Linked DNA regions of Nothobranchius furzeri. The protein of the gene in region 1 purifies or fractionates together with the protein of each later gene. This does not show direct contact. Links are inferred from orthologs where the notes say so. Each region holds a gene or a part of one and is shown on either strand. Other genes may lie near its edges. The genes, in order: nod2 and xiap.

Region 1 (4,461 bases):
GGTAAATGTGTAAAACAACATTTAAGAAAGACAAACGTTTTGTCACCATTTGTTGCAAATCAGTAAACGCATTTAGTCCTCATGGGCTACCGTAGTTGGAAACATGGCATCTAATATGGCATTGCAGAGAGAGAGACTTAGACCCGCTCCCATGTATTTTAGACCTGCATCATTTGATTCACTTTCAACAACAGTTTGATGGATATTTCCAGAAATTAAAGGTAAAAACTACACATTGTCTCTTTAAGATCCTCCTTCTCACATATAAAGCTCTCAATAATCAAGCTCCATCATACATCAGTAACCTGATTGTTCCATATGTTCCTAACACGGGCAACAACCTAATGGAGCGACGGTGGCACAGGAGTTAAGTGCTTGCTCTGTAAATGGAAGGTTGCAGGTTCGAGCCCCGCTCAGTCTGTCGCGGTCGTTGTCTCCTTGGGCAAGACACTTAACCCACCTTGCCTGCTGGTGGTGTTCGGAGGGACCGGTGGCGCCTACGTACAACAGACTCACCTCTGTCAGTGCGCCCCAGGGCAGCTGTGGCTACAATGTAGCTCATCAACACCAGTGTGTGAATGTGTGTGTGAATGGGTGAATAACTGATTGTGTTTTAAAGCACCTTGGGGGGTTCCAGGAATCTAGAAGGTGCTATATCAAATACAGGCCATTTACTATAACAGAGCACTTATATTTTTAATTAAAATATAGCTTTTAAAGGAAATATTGTATCTTCATTCTGCACACCTCTAAACGCCCCGTGGAGGTATTATTAAAACAATGTATAGCTTTTTATGAAATTGCTCCATATTCAACCTTTAATGTACAAACTACTCAAATAAATAAAATAACATAAAAATACAAGTAAAAAACAATTGAGTAAAAAAATAAAGCTAGTGAAAAACTGAGTAAATGTTTGACCACAACGGCTGATTTAATTTATCCACTTTTTAAATCAGATAAATACATGTTTTAAATGATATGTTAACTTATTATTAGATAGTTTTAGGGGCAAAATTGAAGATAAGTAAAATGTAATAACCGCACTTTAAGATGACAAATGAGCCCACAGGGGCGTAGATTTGGCATCCAGCGATGACCAAATTCTCCCCACCATTAGTCTGACTGCCAACGTTAAAAAAAACCAACAAGCCAGAGGAGCAGAAAGGGTTAAAGGACCTACCTCTGTGTTGCACATGGCCAGGATGAGATGTAGGTTTATCAAGTCCCCACAAGCAGATGAGCTCGAGCCTCCTGGTTTGGTTTTTGTTGTGGAACACCGCCATCTAGTGGCTCCAACACCAAGTTACAAGTGGTTTAGATCTGTGTTTTACTTTTGATTTCCCTGAAACACATTAGTGTTGGTTTGTTTAAACATTTTAAACAATATCCTGTCAAATCAAATTCATGAGGATGCTTAAGCTTTATGGTAGTTCAGCCATTGTTTACTTTCTGCTCCACTGGAGCTGCTTGGCAAACAGACCAGGTTTCGGTTTTTAGACGAGGAATGAGGAAGAGGTGGTTGAACGGTCCTTTTGGGTTGATGAGGGCTGGAGAGAAGGCAGTCAGTCGCTTTGTGTTTACAGGTGAGAGCGAGTCTTCTAGTCTGTTGAAGGGGGACACTAGAGGAAATCTGATTTCTGTGCTTTCCTGATGGACTGGTTGGTACCAGATGTGAAGCTGAAGGATTGAAGCATGGGAGCTGATAAGACTGAAGCATGCTTGCTCAGGAGCTGCTGCTGAAACAGCGTTCAGAGGTTCTCCACGCCCTCTGCAGGAGCGGCTCAGCTGAGCACCTGGAAAGGGTTCTGGACGTGCTGCTGGCTCAGGGGGAGCTGGGATGGGAGGACTACCAGAGCATTCAAGTCCCGGGGAGGGCCCTGCACACCAACGCCAGGCAGCTGCTCGACCTGCTTTATACAAAAGGTGAGGAAGCCTGCAGAATCTTCTTCGCTGCTGTCAATCAGGTCTTTCCAGAAGGCCAAAGAGTTGGCCTGTCCTCAGGATGTCCCCCACCTTTAGAGGACAGAGTTCAGAAGACGTCTGCAGAGACAGTTCTAATACAACGGCTGAGTTTGGTCTGCAAGCTTCAGGACTGTGTGGATGGTGCTCTGGAAGCTCTCCTGGAATCAGGTCACTTTTCCTCAGAGGAACGAGATGAGGTCCTGCTGCCTGTTCACACCCCGTCTCAACAGGTAAAAAAGGCATTTGTAAACACATCTCCTCCATTTTGTGCTCTTTTGTCACTTACTGTTTTTGATTGACGGAGGTAGCTGGTGCAGAATACGGTTTCCAAGACGACTGGATTCATATAAGTAGGACATATCGTAATATGACTAAACTCACCTTTGTGCCACCACCTATAAACACTCCAAACCTGAAAGTGCCCGTCCATCTGTCGGGGTTTGGCTTCAGGGAGTATTTGCGAAATATAAACGGTTTGAAAAAGTCCCTGTTTGTGATGTCATAATAAGGGAATCGCTGATTGACGCAGACATCAAAGGTCAAATGTCCATCAGCAGGATACCAGAGAACCAAATTCATGATTCCATCAGTTACAACCAGTCGTCAAGAATCCCCAAAAGGGTTTAAATGTTGTTCTGGGTTCTTATGTTCTTGGATTTCTAGAACAGGTCATGATGTTGGCTTTTTGAGATCTTTTAGCCTTCTTTGTGGTGTCAGGCAGCTTCTTTTGAAGGGATTTGAAAACTTGTTTTGTGAAACATAGTTTCACCCTTATGTCATCATGTCCTTATTTGGGCTGTACCAACTTCCTGTTTAGTCCACTCTAAGATGCTAGTTTGGAGCTTTAGAGCTCTGCGTGGACGAGAACGTCCACATCTCCAGCAGGTCCCTGGGGTTGTTCCATCTGGGTCTGATGGAAATTAGGGTTCTCCCTCTGATCCTGAGCCTGTGGCTTCTTTTTAACATTCATTCTGACCCGTTTTTTTTAGGTATGAAGTGATTTATCTGGAAAGCTTTGGTGTAAAAAGCCATAAACCCGCAGACGGGTCAGACATGTGACTGAAGGATAGAGGAGATTTTAGTACAGCGACTGCTAAATTAGGGTTTTACTTCTGCACATCACCTCGTTTCCTCCACAGCTTCCTGTCTGAAGCTCTAATCGGGTGCGCCGAGCCGTTTCCTGTGCAGTTATCTCCTCTAAAATGTGAATTTAAAAAGTGGAACTGCTGCTTTCGGCCTCGGGTAAATTTGTTCTCGTTCAAACCCAACCAGGCCCGGCGTTTGCTCGATCACGTCGGATCCAAAGGGGAGTCTGCGGCGTCAGCTCTTCTTCAGTTCATCCAGCGAAGACAGGAATCTGGATCCCAGCAGAACCAGAGGGAACTGGAAATCCCTAAAGGTATCGTGTCTTCCGGGTCAAAAGTCTGCCAGTCCACCTCAGCACCAAAATACTCTAAAACTATTAAAGGTATTGGTCCACCAGACCGATATGTTGGTTGATTTGTCCATTGATTCATATTTTATTTATTCTGAAGTGTAGAAATGTACAAATATTAGCTAAAGAGGTTCCTGAACAGCCTCAGTGGGGAGAAATAGGGTTACATGGTGGCACAGGAGTTAAGTGCTCGCCCCGTAATCGGAAGGTTGCAGGTTCGAGTCCCGCTCAGTCTGTCGCTGTCGTTGTGTCCTTGGGCAAGACACTTAACCCACGTTGCCTGCTGGTGGTGGTCGGAGGGACTGGTGGCGCCAGTGCTCGGCAGCCTCGCCTCTGTCAGTGCGCCCCAGGGCAGCTGTGGCTACATTGTAGCTCATCCCCACCAGTGTGTGAATGTGTGTGTGAATGGGTGAATGACTGATTGTGTTGTAAAGCGCCTTGGGGGGTTCCAGGACTCTAGAAGGCGCTATATCAAATACGGGCCATTTACCATTTACCATTTACATCCTACAGCTCTGGTTCTCAGGACCTCGTTGTTCAATGAGTTTGGAAATTAAGGATGATCCAGAACTTTGGTAAACAGGAAAATTATTTTTATTATAATTGATATAATTGATAATTGATAAAGGCTAAATTTAAATATTAATAATAATGCATTGAACTTAAATAGCTCTTTTCTAGACACCCAAAGACGCTTTCACACACTCTCACATTCACACACTGCTAGTGATGGTAAGCTACTTGTAGCCACAGCCGCCCTGGGGAGGTCTGACAGAGGCGAGGCTGCCATTTGGCGCCGTCGGCCCCTCTGACCACCACTAACACAGGCATGTTGGGTGAAGTGTCTTGCCCAAGGACACAACAGCAGGATTCCCCTGGCGGGAGCTGGAATCGAACCCACGACCCTCCGATCATGAGGCAACCCGCTCTACCACCTGAGCTACAGCTGCCCCAAATATTAGCTATTGACTAGTAGAACAGTCCAAGTAGTTGTGTTTTAGTGTTTGACCTATTTAGTCATTGAACCAGATATTTGGGCCCAGAAGTCTTAGGTTCTGCAT
Region 2 (4,272 bases), on another chromosome or scaffold:
TTTGATATATTTAGATAAAAACAGCTTAATAAAGCTTTTTTTTTGTATTTTATAATAAGAGACACTGTATCAAAATATATATTTACCATTTTCAGCGCCCAAAAGCCCATTCTGAGGATTTGAGACCTGGAAGCAAAAACAGGTTATTATTTTCCAGCTTGAACAAACCAAATTTACTAATGATTCAGGGCATCACAGTCATTTTCCGAGACCTAAAGAGAAGTACATTTGGTTCCTTATGTTCCATAAAGTTCACTAAAACACACCAAATACAAGTAAAATGATTTAAAACACAATTCCAGCTGATTCAAACCTTTTCATTGTTTATTTTTTATAAATAAAGGGACTTGGGAATCAGATTGACAGGTAAAGTTACAAGCTATGGTTTGTCATATAATCACAATAGCAAGAAAAAAAGAAGGAGATTGCTTACAGCTCTACTTTGTTTGGGTCCATTTAGTTGGATGCTGTTGACAAATTCTACTCCTTTTTCTGCCAACAAGAAGCTGCATCTAATGGGGAAGAAAGTTACAGCAGCATAAATAAAAATGTCTCCATAATGAATTTTTATTGCCAAGAAAAGACAGATGTTTCCTCTAACCCTGGGTAGTATTTGGCGTGTTGTTCCCAGGGGTCTTCCCCAGGCTGCCAACCTTTCAAACTCCCACCACAACTGAAACACATCACCCTATCTCCCATTCCTGTAAGCACAAATCAGATGTGTCAAAACAAAATCAGAACAACGATATAACAGTGACTCATTTTTGTATGAGTTTTGTCCACAGATGACGATGGCGCTGTACCTAAGCTGTAGAAGCCCGCCGTGGCGAGACTCTTGTGGTCAACAGGGAGCTGGAGACCAGCAAAGCTGCCAAGTCTCCCCTCAAAACTCTCCATGGAGACCTGAGAACTGCTCTCCTGAAGCGGCACATTCCCCACATCATGCCCAAGTATGAAGAAGCAGTTTGGATAATGTTTGGAATGTTCACTCCAAGCATTGTCTTCTGGTTCCCAGTCACTCAGCTCGCCACCACAACAGAAACACCGCACTCGGTCAGCATTCATCAAATAAAAGAAACCAGCTTGTGCCAGGTCTCTGGGTCTCATAAGAGAATCAACGGGCCACGAGGAAAAGGTCTGAAGGCGGGCTTCCTCAGACGCCATCTGAGGGGCTTTAGGGTACATGGTGTCGTCAGTCACGGCTCCAGTTAACAAACGATACTCCATGTGTTCTGCAGCCTCGTTGTAGCCATTAGTGAGCGGGTTATGAAAGCTCGGGTTGAAACTGGTTCGGTGGCAGCATTTGAGAAACAAGCACGTTGGAGAAACCTGTACCAGGAAGAGAGATCATTATTTAAACCTCTAAAGCAGAACAAAAAGTCACAATCGTTCAACACTTTGAATCCATGATCTACCTCCTTGTGCCGCTCCACAGGCGTGTCATCGCTGGTCCAGTTCTCCACAGTCTTCTTGCAGCTGAAACAGCGGACGCGGTCTGCGTTGCCGGTGAAGTAGAAGCCTGCTCGTGCCAGTCGTTCAGCTGGAACTTGCTCAGCCAGGATGGAGCGGCGGAAGGAGTTCAGGCGATTGTTGAGCAATGAAAAATCCATAGCACCATCTGATTCCAGATGCTCATTTTCTTCATTATCACACATAATTGAACTAGGACCTTCCTGGATAGATACAGCTACTGAATGTATGAAGTCTGAGGAGAAAGACAAGCAGATTTGAAGGTTAGTCAAAAGTCCTAAATGTACTTGAATTAAAACAACAGGGAGCTGGTTTGAGCATCCAGGCTAAGCCTTTGGGAGAGGCAGCCAGGCTATAATCACATGCTGGTGCTGGATACTCTGTGTGAGGCATGGGAACAGGAAAGGCGGTGCAAAGGGCGTAACCTGATACAATCTACACTAAAGCAGCATTCCTAAATAGATTATACACAACAGTGACAAACACTGATAAAGTATTTGCTGTAATAAGGAGTCACAGTACATGCTGTACACGGGCTAATGACCCAAGATCAAAGCACGCCAGCTAAGAAAGCAGGATGGGGGGAATAGTTTTGCCACCTCTACACTGGCACATGGAAAATGTGTTCTCACAACCCAAATACTCAGAAAGCCCACTACATGGTGGAGGCTTAGTCCTAAAACTGTAACATCTAGTATGATTTTATCTGAGATGCTTTATTGATGAGGATCAGCTTTTGATCTTTGCACTGTTGTTGGCAATCTTTATAAAAAAAAAAAGTAGTCACCATGATCACGAGTGTGTCACAACTTAATGTGTGTTTAACCGTATGACAAACATGCACAATTTACGATACTGCACCATGGTGCCTCCTGGCATAATATAAAGCCACTTCTTTAAATGGCAAATATCTAAAACGAAATACAAATCTGCAGCCTTCTTTTTTAATTACAAATGCATCAATATTGATTTTAAAACTACAAATCCTTCCAAATAAATAAAATATATTTATTATAAATGAAGTTTGGTTTAACTCTGATCTATTCCAGTTCAAATGTCAGAACTGTAGAATCCTGGTAGCCCTTAATGTGGCTCAGTACACATGAAGTAGCTCTCTATGCTGGTGACCCTTGCTTAAACGTGGATGCTCGAGTTACCAAAAGCTAAAAACTAGCCTATATTATTCAAGGACACGCATTTCAATAAGCCTGCATTCTAAAAATAAACACATCAGCTGCTTTGATGTAGGTGCGTAATGTCGAGATAGTGACTTTGGGTTTTGACAGTTTGCTAAAGTGTCAGTTAGCTAGCTTCGTTAGCTTGTTTGCTAATTTGCGCAGTTGCCTAAATCGACCGTAGCCGGAAAACTACGGTATTTACCTTCACGCGCCCCTTTTGGTTCCGGTCTTCAGCTTGTAACTTTAGTCTGTCTTTAGTGTGAACTTGACCTGGAGCAGAATAGGATGATTAAAGAGCTCAGTTTGTTTTATAAAAACTATGAGGAAGCGAAAGCAAAGGGAGGAATCTGGGAACCTAGAACATTTGGCCCCGCCTCTTCAGTCACATGATCAAAGTACGCCCACGTGGGTGTTTCACAGAAACATGCCGTCTACTATCAACTGCCAACATACTTTAGGGTTGCCTAAATATGGTCAGTAACCAGCAAAAAGCGTTCATTTAAAATTTTAATGTAATCCCATCATGCACCTCAAACAATGTCTGAAGGTCATAATCTTATACCTACAATATTAGTGACCATTTTTAATCAGGATTGTTAGGACAGTGGCGGTCATCTCTTGTTTTGAGGGCCTCCATGTTTATCTGAGGTTTATCTGCTCTCTCACCTGATTGTATCAGCAAGTAATTGAAAGGTTACAGAGCTGCTGAAGAGGTGATTCAACCGATGGACCTGGTGTTGGAGCAGAGAAACTCAAGGCACAGGGTAGGGACTGATAATACAACCTGCATCTGTCACCAACAGAAATAAATGCCAGTGAAAGCTAATGGGATACATAAAATAACTATACTCTTTAACAGTCATATATCAACCTGAGATAATTTTCCATATTGGTGATTATGCATGTCAACTTTTTGATTCAAACTAAAAGTTGCCGTAGTAGTCAAATAAAACACGAGCATTGGTCTGCCCCATGCATTTCCAGTAAATCGTTAGGGATTTTTTTAGGGGGTGGGGGTTCACAGGTATTCTTATAATTTAGAATGGAGAAGATACATTTTCTATCTCTGTTATGTTATGATCATCTTCACAGATACATATTTTCTAAGAAAACATAAACAGCATAGTTTGAATGTGCCTCATCAAGTTTAGCTTAGCTGTAACTTTACTCAGAAACTACCTGTGGTATAACAATAACTTCATAAACGATCACTTGGTATTCTAAAACCCACTCCAGTCAGGTTTTTGTTGAATCATCATTATTATGATGTTAGGTATGATCAGTCCACTTTTTCCGACAGGTGTGAACCAGCTGATTTTAGAGTTGGTTTGCATACGGCTGCTTTGAAAAGGGGTAATCTGTGTGAAAATGGCATGTTTTGTCTTTAGGTTTGGACCTTACAGGTCAGAGTTGTGTGGAAAGAACATTTTTCATTGTCAGGCATGCCAACATCTAATGCTTAAATTCAGAACGCCTGTTGCTCAAAAACTAGCCCAAAGACAATAAATCATGCTTGATTGGAAAGGGTTACTCAAGTTCTGCACTTATGCCTTTTTCATTTGAGTTCTAAATTGGATTATAATAATATAATAATATAATAGGATTGTTTAGAAGATTATTTTCC

What was found.
Region 2: the proteins of nod2 (region 1) and xiap purify together in Homo sapiens (affinity purification with western blotting; 3 studies listed by BioGRID and IntAct, with this or other methods). This does not show direct contact. The link is inferred for Nothobranchius furzeri from reciprocal best matches to the Homo sapiens genes NOD2 and XIAP.

Annotation. Positions count from the first base shown.
Region 1 is NC_091749.1:70,956,164-70,960,624, forward strand, and holds the start of nod2 (nucleotide-binding oligomerization domain-containing protein 2), read left to right. Parts: upstream 1-1,582; 5' UTR 1,583-1,718; coding exon 1,719-2,195; intron 2,196-3,237; coding exon 3,238-3,364; intron 3,365-4,461. UniProt on the Homo sapiens protein: Pattern recognition receptor (PRR) that detects bacterial peptidoglycan fragments and other danger signals and plays an important role in gastrointestinal immunity.
Region 2 is NC_091741.1:25,549,344-25,553,615, reverse strand, and holds the start of xiap (E3 ubiquitin-protein ligase XIAP), read right to left. Parts: upstream 3,010-4,272; 5' UTR 2,851-3,009; intron 1,706-2,850; 5' UTR 1,656-1,705; coding exon 1,416-1,655; intron 1,330-1,415; coding exon 804-1,329; intron 702-803; coding exon 602-701; intron 513-601; coding exon 434-512; intron 127-433; coding exon 87-126; intron 1-86.